Linked DNA regions of Saccharomyces cerevisiae S288C. The gene in region 1 interacts genetically with each later gene. Each region holds a gene or a part of one and is shown in the gene's direction. Other genes may lie near its edges.

Region 1 (7,838 bases):
CTCGAACAAAAAATGGAATGTTGTTTATCTTCTTTTGCAACGTAGGGTTTTCGAACCGCAGCTTTCCGGGTGATACTGAATCCCTTCTATTTCCTTACAGAAGACAGCAAATTTTATTGTAGCATATAAGAAAAGAAATGACAGGCAGAGGAGGGACCAGCATGCCTATGAATTCCCAATACCATATATCACTTTGACAGCGTATATCGCAATTGAAATAGAACAACTTTTCATTATTACTTCAGAATTCATTTTAAAGTGATTGCGAACACGGATTATAGCCCTGAACAATAAAAGGCAAGAGAAAAAATCATTTGTTTTAGGCTGTTAACAGATGACCGGTGATTCCAGAAGCATCAGCGAACCCTCAATTAATCTAGATCCAGATAATACAAGTTTTTCTGATGAAAACAGCGATGACTTCTTTATGGACAATTCCTATGATATAGATGAAATCGATCATAGCGATGAAAGTAATAGGCAAAGTGTCATAGTTGACTCTAAAGTCACGGTACCGCCATCAAAGCATTCAACTCTAACATTATCTGATAGTGAAGATAGCGACGCAAAGGAACAACATCAGTCCCTGAGCAGATCATCTAGTAAAAATGTAAATATAGAAGATATTACGGAGCCCAAGCCAGACAAACCATCGGGTCGAACTAGAGGAAGATCTGTGATGAAAGAGTCTGTAGTTGAAATAAACTCATCTGAATCTGACTTAGACGAAGACAAAAATTTTCCCAGATCTAGGTCAAGGTCCAGGTCAAGCATAAGATCAATATCTCCAGCGGGAAAATACAAGCGACAGAAAAGTTCATTACTGTATACCTATGATGAAAACGATGACTTTTTCAAGGAACTTGCTAAAGAAGCCAAAAAAAGCACCACTATTTCTAAAGAATCGACACCCGACCAGCGGAAGCGAGTTTATAACATCAAATTTCTCTCTAAGCTAGAAGGAACTATAAATAAAGCGGTCCAAGTGAAGGTCCTCGGAAAATACGAATTTTCAAAAATACTTCCTGCTGCTTTGGACGGATTGATGAAGTCCTATAAAATTCCGAAGGTAATGAAAGATATATACAAGGTAGAGAATGTTACTCTTTATTGGAACAATGCAAAATTACTCACTTTTATGACTTGTAATTCGCTACATATCCCACAGGATTTTGAAAATGAAGTCTCTGATATCGATGTTACTATCGTATCCAAAGAATACGAAAAGAACTTTGAAGCGACACTGGAATCAAAGTTAAAGGAAGAAGAAGCTGCTTTACTCATAAAAGAACGTCAGGAGATGGAAAGGAAGTTAGAGAAAAAGAGAAATGAACAAGAAGAGTCCGAATATCGCGAGTTTGAATCCGAATTAAAAAACGTAGAAGAAACACAAGAAATAAAAGAAAATGATACAGTTATGAATACAAAACTTCTGCAAGAGGGTGGCTCTTTGTCAGGAAATAGTAGTAGCATGGAAGAAGTTATGAGAATCGCTCTCATGGGTCAAGATAACAAAAAAATCTATGTCCATGTTAGGCGTTCAACACCATTTTCTAAAATTGCCGAATATTACAGAATCCAGAAACAGTTACCACAAAAGACGAGGGTTAAATTACTTTTTGATCATGATGAATTGGACATGAATGAGTGTATAGCCGATCAGGATATGGAAGATGAAGACATGGTTGATGTCATTATTGATTGAGCGCAATTTGCTAAAAAAGGCCGAACTCCGGCTCTTTACGTGCCACAATTATTATTTACTATGGGCGGCGGGTGTGTTGGTGGTGCTTGCGGTACTTGTAAAATATTTTCTGAATATAATTGAATAAGACCTTTTGTGTTTAAATCATACTCGGGTAATTCTCTGTTCAAAAAGTAGGTGCTGACCCTCTTCTACCTTCCGTGAAATATTATAAAGGAATTTTTCCATCTCTAACTCAACATGTTAACGCTTTTCTATAAAAATTTGATCGCCTAATGAATACAAAAATCTCTTCAGCTTTTTCGTGCTAGGTTTGAATAGTACATCTAACGTAGAACAACTATCAAAACAATTTGATATTTCCTCGGCTATAGTTTTCTTGGAACAAGAGGTAAACTACTTCTCTATTGTTGCTACAGCAGTCAATTAAAATAATTCGTTTCATCATAATATTATGATATCAACGCTAAAAGGTTGTATAAATTACGAGATCAGCAGAAAATAAAATTCAAGCCATCATCCTTTAAGGTGATTTGAAGGGCAAGAATTGGTAGTGTAACTGCATCAATGAGTGATTAGGTGAAAACGAAGAAAAATAATAAATATGGTACTGTGCAGAATTGTTGATTTTCTTTTTTGAACTCTAAACCATCAAGAATGGCTTTCACCCACTATTGTTACACATAGTACTATTACTTACACCAAGATGGGATCCGACAAATATCTCAACACTATATTGGTCTACATGCTTTATCGATTGCTCCTTATTTACGTATTTCTATAAATAGGGCGTACTTTACCAACAGTGATCATGGATGCAAAAAATGTGAATACATTTATATGGAAAAAAGGTTTATATCAATATATTTTAAAGTGATTGAAAATTACTGATGTGTTTGATATTGTTGGAATAAGAATCAACCATCATATACCCGACTAACGTTCATATTATTAGTAAACTATCATATACAACCTAAGAAGTTGACATAAAGATTGACAAGCAGTTACCATTTTTAGTAGAAGTTGAAAAGCAAGAATTGATAACCAAATATTGTTTTCCAACAATGCAATCCCAACCCTATCTCAATATTCATAGAATTCACTTATTTCTCAGTTTAATACATGATGATGCATCTTGATATTGAGAAATTATATGTATTATCCCTTTTTAACCTTTAAAAGGTCACAAATAAATAGCCTTGTTGGCGCAATCGGTAGCGCGTATGACTCTTAATCATAAGGTTAGGGGTTCGAGCCCCCTACAGGGCTAATAACACATTCAAAATGTTATAAATTTTTTTTCGGGTTTGTGTTTAAAACTAACCTTCTAAAGAAAACAATAAAAATTATATCAACATTTCCTCATGTCTTTGTAACCTACTAGTAGGGATTTTGAAGGGCTGAAAGCTTCTTAGTTCTGTCGGATCCATTATATTATCATTATTTACGAAACTAGTGCTATGGGTGGCGAACGTGGTGGGCGTTACCTTTTAAAGTCCTAATGGAAACCTACCTATGCATAAAGTGAATAGAGTGGCAATAAAAGTCGAATAATAGTACAAATACGCAAAAATATGAGTACGGACGTTGCTGCTGCACAAGCCCAAAGTAAAATAGATTTAACAAAAAAAAAAAATGAGGAAATAAATAAGAAGTCTCTAGAGGAAGACGATGAATTTGAAGATTTCCCCATTGACACATGGGCCAATGGTGAAACAATAAAAAGCAATGCTGTAACGCAAACAAACATATGGGAAGAAAACTGGGATGATGTTGAAGTTGACGACGATTTCACCAATGAATTGAAGGCCGAATTGGATAGATACAAACGGGAAAATCAGTGAGGGGCTACATAACATTATTTCTAAATAACGCAAAAGGAAATTATACGTCTAATGTTACTTTAGTACATTGTTGTCATACTAGTATATTTTGCTTAGATGATAAAATAAATAATAAAAAGAGATACGAAAGGCTATGCGGTAGTCGATTATATGGCCTTGTAGTATAATAATGATGCACGCAAAGTATTAAATAACTCAGCTGAGATTTCTCATTTCTTTAAATGCAGTCTCAGTTTAAAAAATTAACTATATTAAGATCCGCTCTTTCTACCATATGATGCAAATGTGTCCTCGAACTAGTACTTGCAATTTCAGGTAACCCCAATCGTTTCTTTATTATTGTCATTTTTACTATCATAATAATATCATCCGTAATAACAATTAAGTAACAAATCACATCCATGTAACCATTTAATTTGTTTCAAGTAACATTCCGAGTGAATAGCTAGTCACATACATATATCTTACCTGCCGCTCCGCTGCAAATGACTTTACTTGTTTCTTGAGGATGCCAGTCCACTTGAGTTATAGGCTTGTTGCCTGGAATCTTGATGTTATTTAATAAGCGCGACGTATTCCAATCCCAAGTAAATAGTCTGCTTTTTGAATCGCCTGAACATATGTAACGACCATCACCAGAAAAAGCCAAGCTTATCCCATAACCAGCAGATGAATGCCCTTTAAATATCTTTTTTGGATGCCTCTTATATTTGGGTTTCAAACTGAAAGAATATATTCTATTATCCATGCTTTGTGCACAGAAATAGTTCTGAGACGGATGTACATTTAAAAATGGCATAGAATGTTGAGCCGTGTCACTTATTTGTTTTATTGGTACATTGATCTGATTTTCCCAAATTCTTACCGTCTTATCCTCTGAAGAAGAAATAAACTTCGAACCATCGGGAAAATACTTGAGAGCCAGAATGCTACTTAGGTGATGATCATATGTCTGCACAAGACCTTGATTTTCTGAAACACGATCATCATAATGTAATATTTTCGAATTCGATAAACCTACAATGAACTCATGTGGGTTAGTGGGCCGAGATTCAACATCTGCAGGCGTTGAATTAAGGTGCAACCTGGTTTTCACTTTACCAGTTTCAGTATCCCAAATTTTAACGCTTCTATCAAAGGAAGAGCTCAAAAAAGATTGACAGTCTTCGGTGAATCGTAATGCTTTAATAGGCTTGTTATGACCTTGAAAATCTCGTAGGCATTCATAGTCATGGTAGAAATCCCAAATTTTTATAGTATGATCATTACCACCAGAGAGAATTAAGTGTCCAGTTTTAGGTAAGAATTTCAGGGCAGTGGTTCCTTCTGGATGCCCCGGATAATTACGTATAACTTTTTTTGGTAAGTAACACCGAAAGGATATCCTTTCCTCACGAAGATCAACATCGACGTCATTTGGTGGATATAAATATCCTCTGCCTTGATAGTCCTTTTCTGATTTACCATAAAAATGGGAGACTTCCTCTACCTCTATCTGTTCCGAATCTAGGTTGTCCTCAGCCAGCGCGTGCACGAAGATATCCTGATCTTCTTTCTGAGTTTCGCTGGCTTGTGAAGTTTCATCGTCACTACTTGACCAACTGCCCCACGGCCCATCTCCTTTGCGAGTTTTCCGTCTTCTTTTTAGTTCTGACTTTGTAAAATGTGATTTTCTCTTATGAATATTATTTGAAGAAGGTTCATACGAAGTATCTTCATGCAAATTACCATTTTTCTTTTCATGAACAGATTTGCCTTCGTCGAAGTTCAAATCAGAGTCTGAGCTTGTGTCATAACCGTCTACTAAACCCATTTCATCTGCTCTTCAAAGTACATGCCGTGTTTGTTGCACTATTTGGCCAAAAATAAAGGAAAAATTTCAAGATTTTTTTTTTACCTCATCTCTAGCAAGGACACAGTACTCCCTCGTAAATAAGACAAAATACAAAAAAGAAAATTCAAAGAAATGGTATTACAAGAACCGGTCAGAGAAACATTACGATAATTGATATCAACTACAAATCCAATGATGCATTCTTTATAATTGTACATATCTATTTGTATTCAAGTTTCATTTAAATACTATTTCATTGACTGCTTTAAACCTTTACCTTCTTGGATGATTTGCTTTTCTTTTTCAACTTGTTTACCAAGTTACCAATATCTTCATTATCATCTGCGTTATTGGTCATATTGTTTTCACTACCGCCAAGTTTTCTTTTCTTATTCTTAACACGTTTACTACGTTCTTTTAGGATTTTACTCATAGCTTGTGTACCTTTGAATTCAGGCTGGGTCGGGTCGATAGCAAAATCGTGATCTTCGAAGACTTCTTTAAATCTAGGATCTTCTAAATCAGGTGTAAAGGTGTCTTCAACAATTCTCTCTTTCTTTTGATACCGGCCTTTCTTGTGTTTTTCTTTTTCTGATCTTAAGATTTCGTTCATGTTGAAATGTGCTTTGTTATTTATTGTGCCCTGAGTTTCGGTATCATCATCATCATCCATTAAAAGCTCCAATTCAGCCTTTGATTTGGCATTCTTTTCGATCTCCTCTTCATCGTTAGTATGCTTTTTATTAACAGATTTCAACTTGCTTTTCTTATCCTTCTCCGACTGCTGTTTCAATTCCTTTACTTTCTGCTTTCTTGCTTTACGACGTTCCTTCTCTTTTCTTCTTATTTTCTCTATAGTCGTTTCTTCTTTGTCTTCCGACGATTTCTCGTTTCCTCCTTCCAAGGCTGGAGTAAATGTAATTTCCATATCAACTTCTTCATCTTCATCGTTAGGGGTTTCTTTCTTGGAATTAAACCCAAAGTCACCAACCAACGACTTTAGTTTATTTTTCGCCTCTTCATCGACCTGCCCATCCGATTCATCACTATCTGACGCCAAGTAAGCCTTAAAGTCCATATCATCAATTTCCTTTTGGGTAAAGGCCCTCTTAGCAACTTCGACCCTATCAGCTGGCGTTTCATCCCAGGTCAATTTGACGCTTGAATGTTGTAGAGCATCTGTGCTAAACTGGTGTGGCCTATAGTTCTTAGGCAATATACTGCATTCATCTCTTACATCATCATCAAAAGTCATACCATCAGGAACATACCTTAAATCGAACATATTAGCGGTTGACTCATATTCGGTACCATCACAGTTATCATAGATAGCTTTGGAGGTGGTTGTATCACTACAATAAACTATTGCGTAATAATATCTTAATCTGTCCAACTGGTATTGACGTAAAGCTCTGGAATCCACGTCCTTGTCAGCATCTCCCTCTTCATAAAGATCCTTAATACCGATGTCCATATCAGAATCAGAGTCATCAGTTTTCTTCTTTTTGGAGGTTTTGTTCTTATTTTTCTTTTGGAAAAGTTCCTTTGGAGGTCCTTCAACTTCCTCGCGTTGCATTCTTTCTTTACCAAATTCACTTGGATAAATAGCAACTCTTTCAATTTTACCACCTTTAGGAACGAAACTGGAAAAGGTAATCATCAAATCCTCAGATTTAACATGGTCCCAATCTAAATTTACGACGGCCAAATTCTTAGAGATGTCACCAGATTCTGGTTTGGCATTTTCAATTTCTACTTCATTTTCTTCTTCGCTTTCAACTTCACTTTCTCCGGACGATTCAGAATCAGAAGAAGTGAATTCATCAGAAGAGCTAACATAATCATCAGGAACTTCACCACGGGCACGGTCCACTACTGTTTTCGCATTAACTTCTGAATCTTCATCATTTTCTGCTTCCTTTTCGAAATATTTGTCGAAATCTTCCAATTCCCTGTTATTCTGCGCATTTTTGATCTTTCTACCATACTTGTCAACCTTAGATTTATGCTGGACCTCCAGATCCTTCTTACTGAACCTAGAATCTAACTTGATCTTATGATCTTTGGTTTTCGTGTTCTTAAATTTAGGATCGCTGTAGATCCCGGCAAACCTAGCATCTACACCTTCCTTCTTTGGGTTCTCTCCAGCCATCTTCAATTTTTCTTGCAACCTTATACGATCCGCTGAAATGTCTTGAAAAATATTCCGGACCCACAGTTATGTGATATTTATTATTTGTACCATTATGCTAATGATGAATTTGAGATGAGATGAGATGAAATTTTTTCTGTAACTGAAAAATTTCGGAACGTCAATAATGATCGGTAGCCTCATCTGGGATATTTGGCCCGGCTCATATTGCTAATCTTTGGATATAGGGCTATTAGCAGATTTCAATCGTCCTCTCTTGGCATAGTAGACACAGAGTTGTATTTGCGCTTCTGAGCGATGCTT
Region 2 (8,212 bases), on another chromosome or scaffold:
GTATTCCTTACGGGAGTTATCTTGGCTAGCATTCTCATTCCAGAATCCAGTAAGTCATCAATCATCATAACGGATTTTGAGTCATCACGTTTCAATAATCTAGCTAGATTCTCCTTAGGAGTCTTAGAATCATCCACATCAAGGAAATATTTATGTAAATAAGTTTCATTTAGAGTGTCTGAAACAAGGTTTTCGTCATTTTCAGCTAGATAAAGACCCAAGGCATAGACCTTGAACCTCAAAAACGTGACGTGCCTTTGACCATATCCCAGTAATTTAAAAGTTGTAGAGACAGGGAAATTTAAAGCAGTAATCGTTAGTGGGAAATCTGATACGCTAGAGTCTACCTGTATCGATTCAGTATGAGAAGGAAAAGCATCAGTTTTATCGTCATTTTGTACCGGACGATCACGGTAGTATAACGAAGTAGCGAGCAATGTTGACGCCGCAAACCAGGGCCAATAGTGGAACGTCGAATTAGAACGCCCAGGGTATTTAGTGGCTCGTATACTAGTAAAATTTCTTTTGAAACATTGCCAATGGTTGGTTGATGGAGATTTCTGACATTTAGCTAGTGTTCGCTGGAGTGATTTTAGCATATTGGCGCACCTTCCTCTGTCCATGAAGGGATTCTATCGCGGTTGTAACGCCGTAAGAGTTTTGAATTGATTTTTTCTTGTCAAAACCGAATAGCATTGTAAACATTTTGAGGGGTCCCTCCTAGAAAAATTGAGTCGAAAGGAAACTCAAAAAAACATCATTAGAGTATATGTGCAGCTTTTGGAACAGCGTATGTATTATGTAATTGTATGTAGAAGTCGGCGAAAGTGTCCTAAGATAGAGAGACGAGTGCATCGATTACTTCCTTCCTAGCCTCCGGAGAAGGAGGATCCACAGCAGCTAGGTAGTGGGCAAATAAGAGCTTTCCAATAAGGGGTTCCTTCACTGTGCCCAATATCACAAATTCATCCTTCTTTCTTGCGTAGTAAGACAAATTCATAGAGCAGTCCTTATTCAGCTCAATGAAAAAATCATCATCTCGAGCCACAAGTCCTTTTACGCTCCTGAAACAGTCATGCAATTCTTGGAATCCAGCTTCCAGCCGGTCTTTGTCTTGAGACTGAGAATCTGGGTTCTTTAGGACGCTCTTTTTGGTGCCGTCCATCAATAACTTGAAGGAACCTGCTTTTATCGGAGTATTCTTGGACATTAGTCTGATTCCGCTGTCTAAGAGGTTATTAATCAGGATAGGGGCCTTAGCAGGATCGTTCAAAGCCGCACGCAAATTATCCTGATGTGAGTTTTCCGGTGATGGGGGTGCCGCAGTGTCGATGAACGCCTGAGACAGGAACTTTGAGTCCAGTACTTCAGAGACCAGATGTTTGTCTTCAGCGGCCACATATATGCCCAGACCATATGCTTTGAAAGTGATCGATGAGACACAACGTACACCCTTACCAATCAGCTCATATTGCGTGGAGAAGGGCCACTGTGGGGGGCCCATCTTCTTAGGGAACGCAGAGATGGATGCGTCCACTGCAACGCTGGTGGCATCCGCCTTTTTGATCTGGGAATCGTCATACCATTTCTTCGCGAATATGGATGCCAGTGCTAACCCTGTTAACACAGGCACTACTTTGCTGCCCTTCTTGTTCACACGAGCATTGCCCGCTGTAGTAGAGTAGTGAGAATACCATTGTGGGGCCCTCCTCATACCTACCTCTAGGCAATTTGTTTTCACCAAAACTTTACTGATTAAACGCATGTTTCCATATACCTGGCCTTCTGCTAAGTAGACATGTATTCAACAAGGGGATGTAACCACACGCTGCTTTAATACCAACAAATCGGCCGCTGATTAGTAATAGGTGCATCATTGCGAATACCGAGAAAGGGTCCATTATACGAACTAATCATTCTATACGGCGTCCTTCCTGTTCAAGCACCTCTCTGATTAGTTCCTTTGATTGAGGCGCTGATGTTGCATCAGGCTGCTGGAGCAGATTTAGTTTCTTTAACGTCTCCTCTTTAATATTTTCGATCAGTTTTTCTGTTGTTTCCACTGAGGTTGTGTTAGTAATTAGTGCGGGTGAAGGTTGGGGGTAGAGTGTTGCGGTGAGGTGACATACGTTCCAGCTGCATTCGATGTAGTATTGCGCTGCGCAACTTCTGCCGTTCTTCGGGAGTGAGAGCCGGTATCATCGTAACCGAGTGCGGCAGCTGCCCTTTTGCTGATGTTGTTGCCACTTCTTGTTTACAATTGTATTCTCTTGAAGTTATATGGCATTATAGCTGCCGGGTTATTTCCGCCAGGCGGGTTTTCGCCACCGGAATTTACAACTAAATACACACTTATATCAGACTTTTAAAGCGTAAAGAAAGAAGGGAAAAGTCAATAAATAACTCAGCAGTAACCGCACAATGGTATTGGAAGCTACAGTGTTAGTGATTGATAATTCAGAGTACTCTCGCAATGGCGACTTTCCTAGGACAAGGTTTGAAGCCCAGATCGACTCGGTAGAGTTCATATTTCAAGCCAAGAGAAACAGCAATCCTGAGAATACAGTGGGTCTTATCTCTGGTGCTGGCGCCAACCCCAGGGTGTTATCTACGTTTACCGCCGAGTTTGGGAAGATTCTTGCTGGACTACACGACACGCAGATCGAGGGTAAGCTGCATATGGCCACTGCGTTGCAGATCGCTCAGCTGACTTTGAAGCATCGCCAGAATAAGGTCCAACATCAAAGGATTGTGGCATTTGTGTGTAGCCCAATAAGTGATTCTCGAGACGAATTGATCAGATTGGCAAAAACACTGAAAAAGAATAATGTTGCCGTGGACATCATCAATTTTGGAGAGATTGAACAGAACACGGAGCTTTTGGATGAGTTCATAGCTGCAGTGAACAACCCTCAAGAAGAAACTAGTCATTTGCTTACTGTGACGCCTGGCCCCAGACTGCTGTACGAGAACATCGCATCTTCACCCATAATTCTCGAAGAAGGATCCTCCGGTATGGGCGCCTTTGGTGGGTCTGGCGGTGATTCCGATGCCAATGGCACATTTATGGACTTCGGGGTAGACCCATCAATGGACCCAGAACTGGCAATGGCCTTGCGTCTGTCTATGGAAGAAGAGCAGCAAAGACAGGAAAGGTTAAGACAGCAGCAACAACAACAAGATCAGCCTGAGCAGTCTGAACAGCCTGAACAACACCAAGACAAATAGTAGTGTACAAAAATATCTATATGGGTCATATATAAACCAAATAAAGCATATATAACATCTCCCTTCACTCTTCCAGGTTTGAGTACGCTTCCTCTAAATAGGGGACGACTTGCTTTCTGGTGGCCTCGACGTTCAGTTGCTTAAACATCGCCACACCTCCATCAAGATTGCCCCCAAATAATTGAAGTTGGAGCTTGTCGCTAACCCTTTCAATGAGTTCACGTACCACGTTAGAGTCTCCCAATATGACCAATTCTCTGTGTGAATCACCAGCTTTCCTCCATGAAGTCAACAGAACCAATACATCGAGCCCCCTCTCCGCCTGAAATCTTCTGCATTGGTTGACGAAATCTGCTTCACCACCGTGTTCATTGAATAGCCAAGACATTCTTTTTACTATTGATGAAAGACCAATCTCTAACCCTTTGTGTCCCTTTCCTTGGAAATTGAATTGTTTGTAGTCCTTCTTTAGAATATCGCTTACCGAAAATCCTTTAATATCGTTCTTTCTTGATTTTATCTCTTTATAAAACTCACTGCTGTCCTCTAAACCTTGCGCAGACACTTCATTAACCGCACCACTAAGAACAGCTTGGCATCTCTCGATAGCTAATTTATCACTTTCCTCGACTTTGCGCCTCATATTTGAAGTGTCTATTAAGATGGCCCCCATCAAAAGTGGTGCAATGTTCATCACCACTTCACGGTCACCTTGCAATTTTTCATACCAGTAGTTAAAAACCAGCGATGAGCAACTGCCGGACACTTTTACAATCCGAGGTTCAGCATCCAAATGTTTTTGCAAGTCAAAATGGTGGTCTATAATGCCAACGACGTTATCTATATAATTTTTCAAATTCTTTGGTGTATCGTTATTATCTACCAAGTAAGAGTTTAATTCAGTACCCTGGGAGACATTTTGCTTCAAGCTCTTTAAATCTTCAATGAAGAATAATTCCTCCTCCTTAATTTTCAGTTTTTCTAGGACATACATTACGTCTCTTCTTAAACTGAGGTCTTCTCTAGGAATGTCGATAATTGGGACAATAAAGCTTCCTTTCTTTTTCTCCTCCGAGTAAGTACCTTCATTATATATGTATTGGCAGTACGAATAAGTGATTGCACTAGCAATTGAGTCCATATCTGCTGACTCGTTACCAACACATATTGTTAACACATCGTTGCTTGCAATTTTTGAAATTGGCAGTGATTTTAAGTGTGCCAAAAATTCAGGAACCGTCTTTCTCAAAGGCGACATCTTTCTTAACAATCGGTGTTTTGAACTTTTTGATTATTTGTTTCAAGTGGCTTTAGTTAATTATGTACACTTCGTTTCTTTTTTCTACTCTTAAAAGTGAAAAAAATGAAAAATCAGCGGCATGTATAGCATACAGATAATAGGAAAAAGGTTGTGAGTTATTCTTCGAGACTATTTCGACTCGTATTCTAAATTAGAATTCAAGTAGGTGGATAATGTGACAAAATGAATGAAGGTTAGAGCTTTACACAGAGTATTATCCTCGGCGTTTTCTATCAAAGCTTCTGGTTATTCCATACTTTTTTCAAGGACAGCAGAAACATATGCCATTTTACACCTCCTGGGAAAATAATTTGTAATTTTCTAGTGACTCAATGCTTGTTGAAAGTGATCTTGTATAATGAGTGTACACATGAGATGTGCAAATTTCTTCATTACTTAGCGAGAAGTGTACACTCTTGAATATAATAACACTAACAGTGGAATCATCGGTAATAATAATACTATTGATCGTAGTGAAAGCAAAACACGACTGTACTTGAGTTATAAATTTTGTTGCTGTAGAAATTTCAGTGATCATTCATTAGCAACTTATTAAGATGACGATTATATTTTACGGTTCTTTTCACAAACCATTATACTTGCTAAAGGTTGTAAAAGTCATACACTTTTTAACATCAAGATTTCAGTACAACAATTTCTTACATGTAAAATCGTTTGCAAATTAAGTTCGCCAAATTGTATCTTAATTAAAATCTATGTGTTCAGAAGTTGAATATTGGTAAAAAGAAACAAAATGTATAAACGAACGAAAAAGGAAGTGATCAAAATAGAGTAAGGAACCAAGGCATTAGGTTCACCCGAACGTTATCATATATACGCTCATATTATTCCAAGAAAGACACATTTGTCTAGATAGGTTTCGGTAAAGGCGTCCGTAGTTAGAGAGTAGATGGCACTAACTTGAAAGCAGGAAAACAAACAATTGTGTTCCAGAGCAAACTCGAACTTTCTATCTGAACCATTGCATGACGTAAAATTATTATTACAACCATAATGAAACATTTCTACAGTATATCTTTAATATTATTTTTTACTTTAGTGTCCTTATCGATCAGTCGCTCTTTCGCCAACTAGCCGCCAATTGCAAAAGCCGATAAGCTTATTTCCCCTCAAGCCGTCAACAAGAACTACAGCAATAACAAAGAGAGTGAATGCAATAAAGGTGTGCGCAACAGTGTAAAATGATACTAAAGCTTGTACACTGTTTAGTTGCTCTTACAGGATTAATCTTTGCAAAGCCGTATCAACAACAACAGGCAGTTTTAGCGCCGTCGCAGGATGTACCATTAAGAGATATCCATATAGGGGATATAAATTTTATCCATACAACCGATACTCATGGCTGGTTGGGGTCCCATCTATCACAAAACGACTATGATGCTGACTGGGGAGATTTCGTTGCATTTGTAGATATACTTAGAGAAAAAATTTTACGACAGTCCAGAGACGTAATAGTCATCGACACTGGCGACAAACGAGACGGTAATGGTTTGAGTGATGCTACTTGGCCCCCCGGCCTACGAAGCTCGGAGATATTCAACATGATGGATTACGATCTTTTAACGTTAGGTAATCATGAGCTATATACAGCTGAAAGTGCCATACTAGAGTATAGAGGAACTTCTCAGTCCTCAAAATTCAAAGACAAATATGTTTGCAGCAACGTAGAATTTATTGAAGATGACGGAACAAGGGTTCCTTTCGGGAATAAATACATTACATTCGAGACTCCCATAATGAAACAAAGAGTCCTGGCATTATCATTTTTGTTTAGTTTTCAAAGAGCAAATAACAGAGCCATCGTAACACCACCATTGGAAGAAATAACTCAAAAAAGCTGGTTCCAAAATATGGTTGAGACAAACAGAGAGGAGGAAATCGACCTAATTATTGTCTTTGGTCATTTGCCTGCCACTGACCCTACAGAGCGTGAAATGCACAAAATTCATGCTCTAATAAGGAAATACTACCCAAATACTGTTATACAATATTTTGGAGGGCACACTCATATCAGGGATTTTGTACAGCTGGACTCAAAATCTACTTGTTTACAAAGTGGTAGATTTGCGGAAACTGTGGGATTCTTGTCAATTAATATGACTGACCCTGTGGACGCCGAAAGTCCTATTTTCTCAAGAAGGTATATTGACTTTAACAAGGAAGCTTTCAAATACCATTTGAGCAAACTAGGGCATGACTCGAATGTTCCAGTCTCAACGAAAAAGGGTAAAACTATTTCTCGTTTGGTGAATGATCTGCGCCATGAACTAAATTTGAACGAGAAACTGGGGTACATTCCTCAAACTTACTACGTTTCAACAAGGCCATTAAACTCCGAAGAGAATCTTTATCATTTGATCACGCATAAGATTTTACCCAATTTAATTCCTCCCAAAAACTATGAACCTTCGATGAGTCGTTTCATTTTGATTAACACTGGCTCTGTCAGGTACGATCTTTACAAAGGCCCATTTACAAAGGATACTGAGTATATAGTGATGCCATTCAATAATGATTGGCGCTTCATCACAGTTCCATTGGTCGTTGCCTCCAGGGTGGAAACCTATTTGAACAAGGGCCCTGTCATTGCCTCATTAGGAATACCATCATCGTCTCATCACAAACAGCATTTTGGCGGTTTTCAGAAGTGTCCCTTCATCAATAATCCAAATTTAAGCGAAGGCTACACCACAGAAGACGATTTCGGGTGTCATGGTGATGACACACCTCACAATTCACAAAGAGAATACGATATCCCCAATGTAGTGCAATGTAAAGAGGTGAAGAAAGTGCAAGAAGAGGAAGCTGATCCGTCGAAGATGGTTCATGTTATCTTCTATTCCTTTATGGAACTCGATATATTAAACGCCGTAAATTCTATCATAAATGATTTAGGATTACGTATGGAGAACTTGACCACCAATGACTGCTCCCATTATGGTGGTGATTCAACCAAAAAGTTATTACGGGATTACTTTTCTCAATTTTAGAGTATTCTGCCATTTTTTTTATTTATTTATGCACATCGTTTAAAAAAGTTCATTTGCAGCGGAAATTGCACCTTTGCTCTCTCGTCCCTGTCTCTAATGAGGCACACTGGTTACACATTTCATGAAAAAAAAAGAAAAATTGTATGTATAATGCTTGTCACTTTTTTTATAATTGATATATGTATATGTATATGTATACATACATATATATAGTTGATTTAGAATTTATTTATATTAAACAAAAGACGAAGAGAGGGCAGATAACAATATTTAAAATGTTTACAAACCTTGTTGAGCTCTTCTTCTGTCACGTTCTTCAGCAATAGACAACTTGATACCCTTACCCTTTGGCAAAGAAATGTAAGGCTTACCTTGTTCACCAATGACGAAGACATTGTTCAATCTAGTGACGAAAGTGTTGTCCAAGGAGTCCTTGATGTGAACCAAATCGAAACCACCATCGTGTCTTTCCTTGTGAACGATAGTACCGATACGACCCAAGTTACGACCACCAGTAACGTAAACCAACTTACCGGCATCGAACTTGATGAAATCAGTAATCTTACCAGAGGCCAAATCAATCTTAACAGTGTCATTGACCTTGATGTTTGGGTCTGGGTATCTGATAGTTCTACCATCGTGGGTAACAACGTATGGAACACCCTTCTTACCT
Region 3 (7,012 bases), on another chromosome or scaffold:
TTTTTTAAAACAGTTAGAGAGAATTTCCACCAGAAAATTTCCTTGTTGCAAATCTTGAATATTATCAAACAACTGACCAATCTTTTTGGCATGTTCTGTCTCGATCAGGTTAGTTATAATCTTTTTGGATTGAGGGACACTGCTGAGGATGCTGCTAATAACGGCCAAGCATTTCCAACTGACTGGATTTTCCATTGCGATGCCAGTCTCAAGTAAATAATTTAAAACTTTGGAGTCTTCGTCTATATTAATCTCAGAAGAAAATCTTAATTTTAAAATGAAATGCCAGATATCATCACTTGGAAGATTTGAATCGGTGATTTTAACGGCAACATTTATGATGTGAAATAACAACTCAAAATTTTGAATTACTTCTCTCTTTATTACTAGCAAATGGAGAAATTCCTGCAGTTGTTTAGAAGTTTCCAAAGTCATTAACCCATAGTGGATTCCTTTCGTTTCATTCCTAGTCTGTGCTAAGTCATTTTTCAGGCAAACACCAAAAATCTTTTTCTTCAAACCTTCCATTCTTATCACCGTATTTGCTGTCCCTTTGTGGTCCTCACTGATTAAAAAATCTTTGTTCTATTTTTCTTATTACCTTTAATGCTTCACGAATGATGTGAATGTTTTGCGAATGATGTGATTGAATCCATCTGATCCTGCTGCGAAATCGTAGTTTATTTAGCCGCTGAACCCTTTGAGCAAGTATTTATCGTTTTTAACGTTGAAAAAGTAGTCATATTCAAATTATATAAACCAGCCAATAATACGTTACTTTGCCTTTTTAGATCACACAATTAAGCGGATACAAGATCACCCATCATAAAGGGTTGGCAAACGCCATTGTTTTTGTCGAACCTTACCTGATATCTCCAGAAATCCAATGTATATCTTCTGTATGAAAATATGAATTGTGAGTGCACATGCCTTTTCTAACAGGGAAACCTGTTGTGATTTGTCATTGAATGTGATGAAAAGCTCCTCCAGTCGCCTCGGCTTGGCTTGGCTTGTCTTGGCTTTTTTGGTTTATTCTTTCTGTCCTGAGATAAAAATTGTAGTAAATCTATACTTCTGGAAGTTTCCCGCGACGAAAATGAACGAGGAAAATAAAAAATTTCATGTTTAAAATCCTGTAATTGATTGCTCTTCCACGCACAGTAAGTTGCAAAACCAGAAGAATAACTGAAAAACCCTAAGCAATCATGTCTAGTCGCCAAGGTGGTAAGATGAAGCCTCTAAAGCAAAAGAAGAAGCAACAACAGGACTTAGATCCTGAAGACATTGCCTTCAAAGAGAAGCAAAAGGCCGATGCTGCTGCTAAGAAAGCTTTGATGGCTAATATGAAAAGTGGTAAACCTTTAGTGGGTGGTGGTATCAAAAAATCTGGTAAGAAATAAAAGGCCTTTAACAACGTCTAATAAAAATTTACTCAGTATTTTCTAGTTCTCGTTTTTTAAGTAAATACATATATTACCAAAGAAAAGCTATTTGCAAGATATATCGTTCTTTCCGATGTTTTACAATCGTAATTACTATGTATAATGGTTACATCTAGCAAATTTGGAGGTTTCCTAAATAAAGCCCCTTGCGTGTCTCTCTAGAGGTACGAAAACAACTGATATATAATGGACCCTTTTCTATTGTGGTGACAGGCATAAGGATAAATATTTATAGATGGCTAAGGAAAATAAGAAAAATACTTCTCCCTATTCATGAACCGGGCATCTTGAGTAGAATAGGGTGCTTCTATTCGTTAGTGCTGGTATTAACTTCTAGTGAAAAATGGCCGAATAATTTCCGGGTAATAAAGCCTTCAGCACAGCTCAATTAGTGGAGGAAAATATTGCCCATATATAGATTGTTACTATGTATGATGTAAGAATATCACAATTGGGCACTTAAGGTTGTGTGAAAAGAAGTGTTTGAAGCTGTTGATTCTGAACAGTAAAAGATAAACAAAGAAGAGATTAACAATGAGCAGATCCGGGAAATCATTGACAAAGTACAAAATTGTTTTTTTGGGAGAACAGGGTGTTGGAAAAACATCGCTGATCACTAGATTTATGTATGATACGTTCGATGATCATTACCAAGCCACGATTGGTATAGATTTTCTTTCCAAGACCATGTATTTGGATGATAAGACAATTAGATTACAGTTATGGGATACAGCAGGTCAGGAAAGATTTAGATCATTAATACCTTCATATATCAGAGATTCGAGAGTTGCTATTATCGTTTACGACATTACGAAGAGAAAATCATTTGAATATATTGATAAATGGATAGAAGACGTTAAAAATGAAAGAGGTGACGAAAATGTTATATTGTGCATTGTTGGTAACAAAAGTGATTTATCAGATGAAAGGCAAATCTCAACCGAAGAGGGAGAGAAAAAAGCAAAACTATTGGGTGCTAAAATCTTTATGGAAACGTCCACAAAGGCAGGCTATAATGTCAAAGCTTTATTCAAAAAGATTGCCAAATCGCTGCCTGAATTTCAAAACAGCGAGTCAACTCCTTTGGATAGCGAAAATGCAAATAGTGCAAACCAAAATAAACCGGGAGTCATTGATATTTCTACAGCAGAGGAGCAGGAACAAAGCGCTTGTCAGTGTTAGCACCTAATATTTCAGTTCTATAGGGCATAAGGAGAACTCTTTGTGTGCGTCATATTTTTTAGTGAACTACCAGCACATAATAATTGTACTGATAATATTAATAATAATCATAATCATAATGTACTTGACGATCTGATGTGTAGGAGCTAGTACTCACTAAACATGGTTGTATTAAAGAATGGTATTAAAACTTTTTATAAAGAAGTATGGAGTGTATAAAGTTATCAAACAACAACAAAAACAACAACAACGTAAAAAAAATATAGAAGAAATAGAAATGACATATTCTAGTTTTTGATTAATTGTTCAGTACGAAGGAAAAGATTAAGTAAAGTGTCACATAGAATCGAAATCTGTGTCCACATAACGGCCATTTCTCAGTAACGTCTTGCATAAGCGTGGCATAATTTCGACTTGAAGGGGCTCTAGAGGAAATTTCTCGCCATCGACAGAGAACAAGCCGTTCCCTAGCTTTGGTATTATCTTGTATGCCAAAATTTTAGAGTGTAAGACTTCCGGTTGTAAAACATGGGAACCCTTATCTAGTCCCAGCAGGATTGGTGCCATCCTCGTCAACGAGGTTCTTGCATCGGTGATAACCATATCCATTGTACCATCTGAAGGAAGCGCTGCCGGAAAGAATTTAGTGTCAGCAGCCACATATGGCATTTTACCCGTATAGAAGATACCTAGGTTGTTCGAAATATTAGGATCCAATCTTTCCCAGTCACTAGGGATACCTTCATCTAATGGATATTTTATTTTGAAATCTTCCTCTTTAATTTGATCAGCACTAGAATCTGCCAGATCACGAGATATCAAGTGGGAGTCTTCGTCATCCGCATCCGCATCTTCATCTTCATCTTCGTTTTCGGTTTCGTATTCATTTTCGTAATTGTAATTATCACAATCCTCGTTATCTTTGTTCATAGTAATATGCTGGAATTCTAACGACCCTTTATTTTTGTGTTCCAGGTAATGATTTTTTAACTCGTTTTTTGATTTGGCAGCATACTTTACATATATCTCACAAGGATATTTTTTTTTTTGTATGATATTGAAGGCTACACCCAATTCAAACCTTGCAGGTCCCATCCATCTAATAAATTCAGTGTTTATGTCAGTTTCTGCAATGAGACCATATGTTTGACTTAAAAATGATAACTTTGGGTGCTCTCTTGCATAAGAAGGCTGCGAACAACACATCAAATCAATTCTAGTCTCTATCGATTTAATTAAGCATAAAGTTGAGTACGAAGGATTGTTTGTCCAGTGGCAGGATACGCTCATTGCGTTACCTGATCCGCATGGAATTTCTGTAATGGCGATATTGTTGAATGCTTTGACATGATCAGGCCTTTGGTATAACCCATTGATCACCTCATGAGGAATGCCATCTCCCGAAGCGCAAGCAATAGTGTCATATTTGTCAATATCCATTTCCCGCGCGATCTCTATAGCATGACCAGGGTATTTTGTATAAACCACTTCTATGGAACACCGACTTGCTAATAGTAACGGCTTTGCCTTTGTCATAAACAGTTTTTTCGCCTTACCTTTACCACCAAACGGATTAATGATCACAAATATGGATTTGTTCCTTCTAGTGTTTTTGTAGCTTCTCTTTAAAATCTCCTCAACCAAGTCATCTTCTTCTTTTAAGTGAGAAGATGAATGGGGTTTATAGTCAATATACAATGAAACCCTTTTGGGTACAACGTCATGCCGTCTTGGCCTAGCAAATATAACCTCTACTAGTTTCGTAAAAGGAGATCTGGAAGTCAGGAGGCTACTACTACTGTTACTTCCTCGCGATAGCGAGTTGCCCTTCCTTTCTTTTTTTTGGGAAGACTCTAATTCATCAAGATCACACTTTTCACTAATGTTACTCATTGAGCTGCTTAAAGGTGAACTGGGTGATGAATTGGCATCATAATAATGCAGAGGTTCCTTTTCAATGTATCTGGCATCCAGAATTCGTCCATAGGGGATAACGGTGTTTGCTGGCAATTGACCATTCACCGAAGGATAATGAAGTTTTGGATTAGCAGAAAGATCATCTTTACTTGTATCCGTTGTCGATGTTTCCGATCTGTCTATTGTATCAGTATCGCTTAAACAGGTAACACAGCTAATTAGTGAAGCCGTTTCAAATATACTGTTGTTATCACTGTTGCTTTGAAAGCTAGTTCTACTGATGTTGCTTTGAAAGCTAGTTCTACTGATGTTGTCAATGCTGCTGCGACTTCGTTTATCTGCCATTCTATTTGCGTATGTGTAAGGACTTGATGGTTTTGCCTTGATCATTATTCCTTCCTCAGTCAGTATCGCTGACGTTATTTGCTTCTTCCTGGAATGGCGAGACCTGCCCTTACGTCTCTTTGAAGGTTTCAAAGTCATCTCTTTTGGCTTACTGTTTAAATCTTACACTATTTGTGGTTTTTTCGAGATAATATCAAGAGTCCTTTTACTCTTCTTTTCTTTCCTATTTTGCAACACGTATATACAACAGTTTATGCTGTAGTTATACTTTTTTGATTGTTTTTGTATAAATAGATTCGGCTCACGCAGCTTACGTTCCCTTTCTTCTTCGCCTGCGAAGGCTTTAACAAGGCCCGAAAACACCTTGATTTGCAAATCTAACTATGAATCTTGCAGAAAAGCGGTGGCAACTGAAAGGGAAAAAAACATAGATTAAAAGAAAGCAACATAGTAACATAAAGGAAGAGAAAATTTTGATGATAAAGAAGATGAATAATATACCTAATGCATCCAAATGTTCCTCCTGTTATACTATTGGGAATTATTGCGAGTGCATCCATTCGCGCAATGATCAAGTAGAACGCCAAGACTAGTTGTGCAAAGAAGTACAGTTGAAATTCCAGCCAGTTATGTCTCATCCCTATTCCACTGTTTTTGTAGGTATACAATGGTGTTACGAGCAATTGAAGCTGTTTATTGCCTGGTATTACCTCTGGAAACTTACTTTATAGCCGCCCATCTGTATATGTCATCATATACGGACCTCGTGGAATTTTCCAGAAAACCAAATGGGGAGGGTGACTTTAATTTTGCTTCGTTTTGCCCGGAGCAGAATCCAGACGGACATTCATGTATATATATTGAAGGAGACTAAGTTTTACATTCATTATGTAAGGTCGTGGTTGCGTCTTCATGCACTTCCTTGAATAATATAAGAAAATTCCCACGAGAAAACATCATAAGCAAAAAAGTTTTCAAAATGTTGAGATCATCCGTTGTTCGTAGTCGCGCTACTTTAAGGCCTTTATTGCGTCGTGCTTACTCCTCTCATAAAGAATTGAAATTCGGTGTAGAAGGAAGAGCCTCCCTTCTTAAGGGTGTCGAAACTTTAGCTGAAGCGGTTGCTGCTACTTTGGGTCCAAAGGGTAGAAACGTTTTAATCGAACAGCCTTTCGGTCCTCCAAAGATTACTAAGGATGGTGTTACAGTTGCCAAATCTATTGTGTTGAAGGACAAGTTTGAAAATATGGGTGCCAAGTTACTACAAGAAGTTGCCTCCAAAACCAATGAGGCTGCTGGTGACGGTACTACTTCTGCTACTGTCTTAGGTAGAGCCATCTTCACAGAATCCGTCAAAAATGTCGCCGCTGGTTGTAACCCTATGGATTTGAGAAGGGGTTCTCAAGTTGCAGTTGAAAAAGTGATTGAATTTTTGAGCGCCAACAAGAAAGAAATTACCACATCTGAGGAAATTGCTCAAGTAGCAACCATTTCTGCCAATGGGGACTCTCATGTTGGTAAGTTACTAGCTTCAGCTATGGAAAAGGTTGGAAAAGAAGGTGTCATCACTATCAGAGAAGGTAGAACATTGGAAGATGAACTTGAGGTTACTGAAGGTATGAGGTTTGATCGTGGTTTTATTTCTCCATACTTCATCACTGATCCAAAGTCGAGCAAGGTGGAATTTGAAAAGCCATTGCTATTGTTGAGTGAAAAGAAAATTTCTTCCATTCAAGATATCTTGCCAGCTTTGGAAATTTCCAATCAAAGCAGAAGACCTTTGTTGATCATTGCTGAAGATGTTGACGGTGAAGCTCTTGCGGCTTGTATTTTGAACAAGTTGAGGGGTCAAGTTAAGGTTTGTGCTGTGAAGGCGCCTGGTTTCGGTGATAATAGAAAGAATACAATTGGTGATATTGCAGTCTTGACGGGCGGTACTGTTTTTACTGAGGAGTTGGATTTGAAACCAGAACAATGTACCATAGAAAACTTGGGTTCTTGTGACTCTATTACCGTTACTAAGGAAGACACCGTTATCCTGAACGGTAGTGGTCCAAAGGAAGCTATTCAAGAGAGAATTGAACAAATCAAAGGCTCCATCGACATTACCACCACAAATTCATATG
Region 4 (7,670 bases), on another chromosome or scaffold:
TTTTTTTCGCATAACAAACGCGCTTATCTGAGACATAACAACAGCCAACGACCGATGCCTGCGTGGAATAAACAATAATACGCTGCAGAGGATAAAAAGAGAGGTATCATGTCTATTTATTCTCTGCTTTTCTAATCAAATGTGTATTGTATGCTGAACCATGCCGGTTGGTTGCTTCTTCCGGTAATTGCATTCAAGTCCTGCAACTTTAAATGTCCTCTTATAAAGCAGGACGTGGCTTCAGAAACAAAAAATGTGTCGCCAAGAGAAAACAAGAACAGCTATCCAAGTCGAGCTGGGAAAGTAATCAGATTTTTGTATATGTATAGGTACTTTCTTGATCCGTAAGCTGGAACTTCTTTCATGATCTCTGTTATAGGAAAGCCAGAATAGAAAGAATCCGCCCGTAAAAAGAAAAATAAAGCAAACTCGATACAATTTCATGCAAGAAGGCCATTTGCTAATTCCAAGAGCGAGGTAAACACACAAGAAAAAATGGTCAAACCAATTATAGCTCCCAGTATCCTTGCTTCTGACTTCGCCAACTTGGGTTGCGAATGTCATAAGGTCATCAACGCCGGCGCAGATTGGTTACATATCGATGTCATGGACGGCCATTTTGTTCCAAACATTACTCTGGGCCAACCAATTGTTACCTCCCTACGTCGTTCTGTGCCACGCCCTGGCGATGCTAGCAACACAGAAAAGAAGCCCACTGCGTTCTTCGATTGTCACATGATGGTTGAAAATCCTGAAAAATGGGTCGACGATTTTGCTAAATGTGGTGCTGACCAATTTACGTTCCACTACGAGGCCACACAAGACCCTTTGCATTTAGTTAAGTTGATTAAGTCTAAGGGCATCAAAGCTGCATGCGCCATCAAACCTGGTACTTCTGTTGACGTTTTATTTGAACTAGCTCCTCATTTGGATATGGCTCTTGTTATGACTGTGGAACCTGGGTTTGGAGGCCAAAAATTCATGGAAGACATGATGCCAAAAGTGGAAACTTTGAGAGCCAAGTTCCCCCATTTGAATATCCAAGTCGATGGTGGTTTGGGCAAGGAGACCATCCCGAAAGCCGCCAAAGCCGGTGCCAACGTTATTGTCGCTGGTACCAGTGTTTTCACTGCAGCTGACCCGCACGATGTTATCTCCTTCATGAAAGAAGAAGTCTCGAAGGAATTGCGTTCTAGAGATTTGCTAGATTAGTTGTACATATGCGGCATTTCTTATATTTATACTCTCTATACTATACGATATGGTATTTTTTTCTCGTTTTGATCTCCTAATATACATAAACCGAGCCATTCCTACTATACAAGATACGTAAGTGCCTAACTCATGGGAAAAATGGGCCGCCCAGGGTGGTGCCTTGTCCGTTTTCGATGATCAATCCCTGGGATGCAGTATCGTCAATGACACTCCATAAGGCTTCCTTAACCAAAGTCAAAGAACTCTTCTTTTCATTCTCTTTCACTTTCTTACCGCCATCTAGATCAATATCCATTTCGTCTTCTAGCTTAGCGCTTGCGTCAACCAATAATTTTCTCTGTGTAGCATATTTTAAGTTTCTCTCGATTTTCTTAGCTCTCTTTTTGGAAAGTGTCCTCGTGGTGATGGAGGCCGGAGAAGATGAAGCATTTTGTAATGTCACAGCAGTGGAATTCTGACTTTCGTTCTTCTTGTTTTGGAAGTATAGGTCCAACGCTACTGATTTTATTTCCCCAGATTTCGAATTTACGCTGGATCTAGCTGGCTTCAAGAGACCAGCTCTTTCTCTTTGAGCTCTTTTCTTATTTAAAGAGTGCACCTTGTGGTGCAAATTTGAAGTCAGCTTAGGTCTGTTGATGGAGTTTTTAGAAGGCATTATGGGTTGGCTGTGCTAGTCTCTTCGGCAAGCACCTCATCGACTAATGCCGCCATAAGTTATAACCATATATTAATATTGATACTCTCTATGAAAATTTTAGCGAAAAAAAATTTTGCGATGAGATCATTCCAAACGGATTGACGCGTGGAAGAAACCGGCGATTTTCTGGTTTCTGGTTCTTTGATGGAAGTTGGACGAGACGGTGAAGAATAGAACAAGGGACAGGTTAACTAGACTCAATCGATTAAAAACATACATACTACCAGGGCAAAATGTCTGAAAATAAGAACTCTGAGGCTGAAGACGTATTTGAATTTTTAGATTCTTTGCCAGAAGCAAAGAATGGCGGGAAAATGGTTAATACTGACGTAAAGGGTAGCCAAGAAGGCGTTAAGGGAGGTTCTAATTCTGTGGCGGGCAAGACCGGGAATGATGGAAAGAAAGGTGACGATGATATCTTTGAATTCTTAGAAGAGTTGGAGAAGAGTAACTTAAGCTTAACTGACAAGAAAGGGGTTGAAAAGAAGGCTCCCAGTGAATCAGTTAATAATAAAGCACAAGACGAAAAAGTAGAAGAATCAAAAGAAAACAAAAATTCCGAGCAGGACGCTCACGGAAAGGAAAAGGAACCACAGCAGCAGGAGAAAGAAGAAGAAGAGGAGGAAGAAGAAGAAGAAGAAGAGGAGGAGGAGGAGACCCCATTGCATGACCCAATTGCTTCTATTTCAAACTGGTGGTCCTCCTCTGGATCCGCAAAGGTATCGAGTATTTGGAATAAAACTGCAGAACAAGCATCCCAGATCAAAAACCGACTTGCCCAAGAACAGCTTGATTTGACTTCAAAGATAAACACGAGCACGATTACTGAAATAGCCAGAAACTTACAGAAAATCGTTGTTGGTGAGACTGAAGAGGTGCTGCGAATTCATCTAGTCCATGATTTGGTTAACTATCCCTCATTACAATACAATATTGAAAGCAAGTTTGATCAAGTTCTAAGCTCACAAGTTGAGGGAGGAATCAGAATATTTGTAGATGAATGGGGCCATCCTAACAATAATGGAATTACACCTGTGGAAAAAAAGCCTTCAGTTGCAGACGGTGAGTTAGGCAACTCTAAAAAAAAATTACAGTTTAATCTATTCGACGGCAAGGTAACAGACGGTGAGAAACTGGCATTTGCAAACCTGGAAAATGCAGTCAAACTCTTCAATACTGCACATGAGGAATACCAGAAACAACAGAAAGAGGCTGATGCCACTCCAGATGACGATAGGAGTTCTATTAGCAGTAACAGCAATAAAATCAGTGATTTATTCATATCCATCTTACCAATTGCCATTCCGCAAAAACAAAAAGATGCCGACGGTGACTTTCAAGTGACCGACTCCAATACGCCAGGCAATTTCAATTTCACCCTTGTATTGAAAGACATAACTAACGATATTACCACCATAACAAGATCACAAGGATTCCCTGTCAAATGGGTCAATTGGCTAGAAGGATCCGTGGAGAAAACAGGATCAACAGCAAGTGAGGAGAGGAATAAGTCATACGATCAAAAGAAACAAAAAGAAAGTGAAGACGAAGACGAAGACGATGAGATCATTGATCCTAGTGAATGGGTAAAGGAATGGATCGAAGATGGATTAAGCTTGTCATTTGGGGTCATGGCACAGAATTATGTCATTGACCGTATGGGTCTTTGATACACTTAATACATAACATTTATAGCGTAACGATGATGTATAAAGTTACAAGCGCAGAGGAGTGGGTTCAAATTCGGCCGACTTGTTACCCGCGTTCGTTGAATAATGGAAAATATGAAAAAAATAGAGGAAGTCGTGAATATACAACGGTGTTCAGCACCTGTATTTCAATCTAGGGGAAGCCTGTATGACCAAGGGCTGATTAAATATTAGTGAAGATACAAGTAACACAGTTTAGTTATATTTTCTTTTCCTTTTCAACAGGATTGCCAACGCTGCAGTAGAGTTATACCAACATTTGCTCCGCTTTCAAAACCTATAAAAGAAAGCAGCCCTCGAATCGAATTAATTCACCAAAAATGTCTGCAAATAGCAAGGACAGAAATCAGTCCAATCAGGATGCGAAGCGACAACAGCAGAATTTCCCAAAGAAGATTTCAGAAGGTGAGGCCGATTTATATCTCGACCAGTATAACTTCACTACCACCGCTGCTATTGTAAGCTCAGTAGACCGTAAAATCTTCGTTCTTTTGCGTGATGGAAGAATGCTATTCGGTGTACTAAGAACCTTTGACCAATATGCAAATTTGATACTTCAAGATTGCGTGGAGAGAATATATTTTAGCGAAGAAAACAAATACGCTGAAGAAGACCGCGGCATATTCATGATTCGTGGTGAAAATGTTGTCATGTTAGGCGAAGTAGACATCGATAAAGAAGATCAACCCCTTGAGGCCATGGAACGCATACCATTTAAGGAGGCTTGGCTGACCAAGCAAAAAAATGATGAGAAAAGGTTTAAAGAGGAAACCCACAAAGGTAAAAAAATGGCCCGCCATGGTATCGTTTACGATTTCCATAAATCTGACATGTACTAAGAAAGAAAAACACAATACTACCAACATATATCCTGGAGTAAACTCTCAAAAATTTCCACATTCAGTTTTACCTATCCGTACACTTAATCAACTGCCTTTGGAGATGGAACAATAAAAAAAATGCAAGAGAGGAGGCCGTATTTGTATATAAATTAATATATTTAAATGTAAAATATATACAGTACTTGAGTTTTTTTATGAAGTAACGTATTTGCGCAGCATTCTTTTTCCTCTTACACTTCGTTATAACATTAACACTCATGCTATTGATACTTTTTCTTTATTATTATCTATAAAATTTTTTCGCTTTTTGTTTATGCCATGCCGTTAGCAACGAATTTTTTTCCATGCTCATCACTTTTAAAACTGTTTAAAGTATATAGAAAATATATGTGAATAAGATCGGGGTGGGACTATCAGGTAGCTAAGATTACGCAGATTTAGAAATGTCAACAAATTGTTTTTCCGGTTACAAAGACCTCATCAAGGAAGGCGATTTAACTCTAATATGGGTTTCTAGAGATAACATCAAACCGGTAAGGATGCATTCCGAAGAGGTATTCAATACTCGTTATGGTTCATTTCCTCATAAGGATATCATAGGTAAACCTTATGGTTCTCAAATTGCTATAAGAACAAAGGGCTCAAATAAGTTTGCATTCGTCCATGTTCTGCAACCAACTCCTGAATTGTGGACTTTGTCGTTACCACACAGAACTCAAATTGTATATACGCCCGACTCTTCCTACATCATGCAAAGGTTGAATTGTAGCCCTCACAGCAGAGTGATCGAGGCAGGTACAGGCTCAGGATCATTTTCGCACGCTTTTGCAAGATCTGTAGGTCATCTTTTTAGTTTTGAATTTCATCACATAAGATACGAACAAGCATTAGAGGAATTCAAAGAGCATGGACTTATTGATGATAACGTTACGATTACACATCGGGATGTTTGCCAAGGTGGATTTCTTATAAAGAAGGGAGACACTACATCTTACGAATTTGGCAATAATGAAACCGCCGCTTCATTGAATGCAAATGTAGTGTTTTTAGATCTGCCGGCTCCCTGGGATGCTATACCTCATCTGGATTCTGTTATTTCCGTAGACGAAAAGGTCGGATTGTGTTGCTTCTCCCCATGCATTGAGCAAGTAGACAAAACATTGGATGTATTAGAGAAATATGGCTGGACGGATGTTGAAATGGTGGAAATTCAAGGTAGACAGTACGAAAGTCGAAGACAAATGGTCAGATCACTCAATGATGCCCTGGAAAGGTTGAGAGATATTAAGAGGCACAAACTCCAGGGTGTAGAAAGACGCAAGCGGATGTTTAACAATACAATAGATTCTAACGATGAAAAAGTTGGAAAAAGAAACGAGGATGGCGTACCATTAACAGAAAAGGCCAAATTTAATCCTTTTGGCAAAGGTTCTCGAATCAAGGAAGGTGATAGTAATTATAAATGGAAGGAGGTCACAAAGATGGAAGCTGAGATCAAATCCCATACCTCATATTTGACTTTTGCATTTAAAGTTGTGAATAGATCAAGAGATGATGAAAAAGTTAACGAAATTCTTCGATCCACGGAAAAATAATTAAATGATTAACTACTTATATACTTAAATTATATGTTTTTGAAATTTTTAATATGTAAAGCAAATCTGTACGAATAAAGGCTTTTTTCATATTTTATTTGCCTCAATGAAATAAATCGTCTCTTCTCTGGTTCCATAAGGGCATTTTGTTCCTTATTTCTTGCAAAAGCTCACGATCCAAATCAGCGAGAATTAGTTGTGGTCCAACAGTAGAGGGATCGGCATGCGCTATTATTTTACCCCAAGGATCAATGACCATTGAGTGTCCCCAAGATTCTCTCCTGGAGCTTTTTTCGAGAGCGCTCATATGTGATTGTTTCTCCCACTCTGGATCACTGAGATCGTGCATTCCAACCTGCCCTGGCATGAGCACATAGCATTGAGTGTCAACCGCTCTTGCTCTGCCTAGTAACTCCCAATGTGCTTCCCCTGTTTTAATAGTGAACGCACTGGGAAAACATAAGATTTCAGCCCCCATTGATCGTAATTTCAAAGAAAATTCGGGAAAGCGAATATCATAACAAATGGCACTGCCCAATTTTCCCAATGGAGACTCTATAATGTCAGGAATGGCTTTGCCAGGCTGGACAGATTTTGATTCTTTCAATATCGGTCCATTTGGCACGTCTACGTCAAACAAATGCAGTTTTTGGTATTCTTGCAATATTTTCCCTTCATGATCGATATATAATAGAACGTTTCTGACTCGATCATTGCCTTCAAGTAAATCTTGTTCTGAGGGCGGCAAGTGTACCCCAATGGAAACATCTATATTCCGTGAATTATCTCTGACAAGGTCGGTAATGCTTGACTGTAATTGCCGAATAAATTTGGGGCTTTTCTGTGCCAAATACCTGGAATGAAGAGGGTTTTGAGAAAGATAGTCACTTGCCTCAGGGAGAAAAACGACATCCGCCTTTTTTTGAATGGCTTCAGATATCAATTCTTTTACCACTTTTAAGTTTTTGGTCAGGTCAGCGGATGAACATAATTGTGCGACAGCAACCCGTTTTAATTTACTAGTCATTTGCGGTGTTATATTTTATGAAGGAGACTTCATGATGGGTATGAATTTTATTTCACCTCTATTCATTTACTTCTAATGGCCTAGAATCTAGTAAGCTCTGAAAATTCGAGATGCGGATCGTGAGCTAAAATAATAAAAAAATGAAAAATATAAAAGAGCAAAATTCATTACATTGGCGTTAGTTCACTGCTCGGGGGATGAGTAAAAAGTGTACCGATCAAGAACAACTCTAGACTTCCGCCAAAGTGATTATCAACAAAAATCGTAATAATTAGCTTCAATGCTAAATCAGCACACAAGTTCAGTACCGGATGACGAACATCTGCAGATGGCACACCAAAATAGCAGTTCAGAAGTGAGAAATGAGGCAGCGGTCCCAGATCAACTTTTGACTCCTTTACAACCGTATACCATTTTATTGAAAGATGGAGAAACAATAGCTACGATGTATCCTATACCTGCGTATCCTGATTTATTGCCGCTAGGGCTCTTAAATTTCCTTCTAGATGAATTTAACATGGAAGTGGAAAAGGGAGATAGTTTTCCTTATTACGAGACTTTATCACTAGAAGAATTCAAAAATGT

Evidence for each region.
Region 2: mutations in SEM1 (region 1) and RPN10 together harm fitness more than expected from each alone (negative genetic interaction), as found in Saccharomyces cerevisiae (10 studies listed by BioGRID, with this or other methods).
Region 3: mutations in SEM1 (region 1) and YPT6 together harm fitness less than expected from each alone (positive genetic interaction), as found in Saccharomyces cerevisiae (5 studies listed by BioGRID).
Region 4: mutations in SEM1 (region 1) and LSM1 together harm fitness more than expected from each alone (negative genetic interaction), as found in Saccharomyces cerevisiae (7 studies listed by BioGRID).

What each region holds. Positions count from the first base shown.
Region 1 is NC_001136.10:1,198,849-1,206,686, forward strand, and holds SEM1 (proteasome regulatory particle lid subunit SEM1), read left to right. Parts: upstream 1-3,279; coding exon 3,280-3,549; downstream 3,550-7,838. Other genes in the region: ESC2 (Esc2p), read left to right, coding at 335-1,705; CDC40 (Cdc40p), read right to left, coding at 3,995-5,362; pre-rRNA-processing protein ESF1, read right to left, coding at 5,649-7,535. UniProt on the Saccharomyces cerevisiae protein: Versatile protein that might stabilize multiple protein complexes involved in diverse pathways. Subunit of the 26S proteasome which plays a role in ubiquitin-dependent proteolysis.
Region 2 is NC_001140.6:496,658-504,869, forward strand, and holds RPN10 (proteasome regulatory particle base subunit RPN10), read left to right. Parts: upstream 1-2,421; coding exon 2,422-3,228; downstream 3,229-8,212. Other genes in the region: AIM18 (Aim18p), read right to left, coding at 1-623; AIM46 (Aim46p), read right to left, coding at 833-1,765; NBL1 (borealin), read right to left, coding at 1,914-2,062, 2,130-2,202; PPX1 (exopolyphosphatase), read right to left, coding at 3,293-4,486; SMN1 (Smn1p), read left to right, coding at 5,731-7,539; 40S ribosomal protein eS4 RPS4B, read right to left, coding at 7,819-8,212. UniProt on the Saccharomyces cerevisiae protein: Multiubiquitin binding protein.
Region 3 is NC_001144.5:663,856-670,867, reverse strand, and holds YPT6 (Rab family GTPase YPT6), read left to right. Parts: upstream 1-1,976; coding exon 1,977-2,624; downstream 2,625-7,012. Other genes in the region: RED1 (Red1p), read right to left, coding at 1-528; TMA7 (Tma7p), read left to right, coding at 1,206-1,400; VPS63 (Vps63p), read left to right, coding at 2,305-2,631; sphinganine kinase LCB5, read right to left, coding at 2,961-5,024; chaperone ATPase HSP60, read left to right, coding at 5,866-7,012. UniProt on the Saccharomyces cerevisiae protein: Protein transport. Might participate in post-Golgi transport.
Region 4 is NC_001142.9:183,916-191,585, reverse strand, and holds LSM1 (Lsm1p), read left to right. Parts: upstream 1-3,941; coding exon 3,942-4,460; downstream 4,461-7,670. Other genes in the region: ribulose-phosphate 3-epimerase RPE1, read left to right, coding at 496-1,212; ALB1 (Alb1p), read right to left, coding at 1,343-1,870; DUF5427 domain-containing protein MTC1, read left to right, coding at 2,146-3,582; tRNA 1-methyladenosine methyltransferase subunit GCD14, read left to right, coding at 4,907-6,058; NIT2 (putative hydrolase), read right to left, coding at 6,162-7,085; SPT10 (Spt10p), read left to right, coding at 7,366-7,670. UniProt on the Saccharomyces cerevisiae protein: Component of the cytoplasmic LSM1-LSM7 complex which is involved in mRNA degradation by activating the decapping step.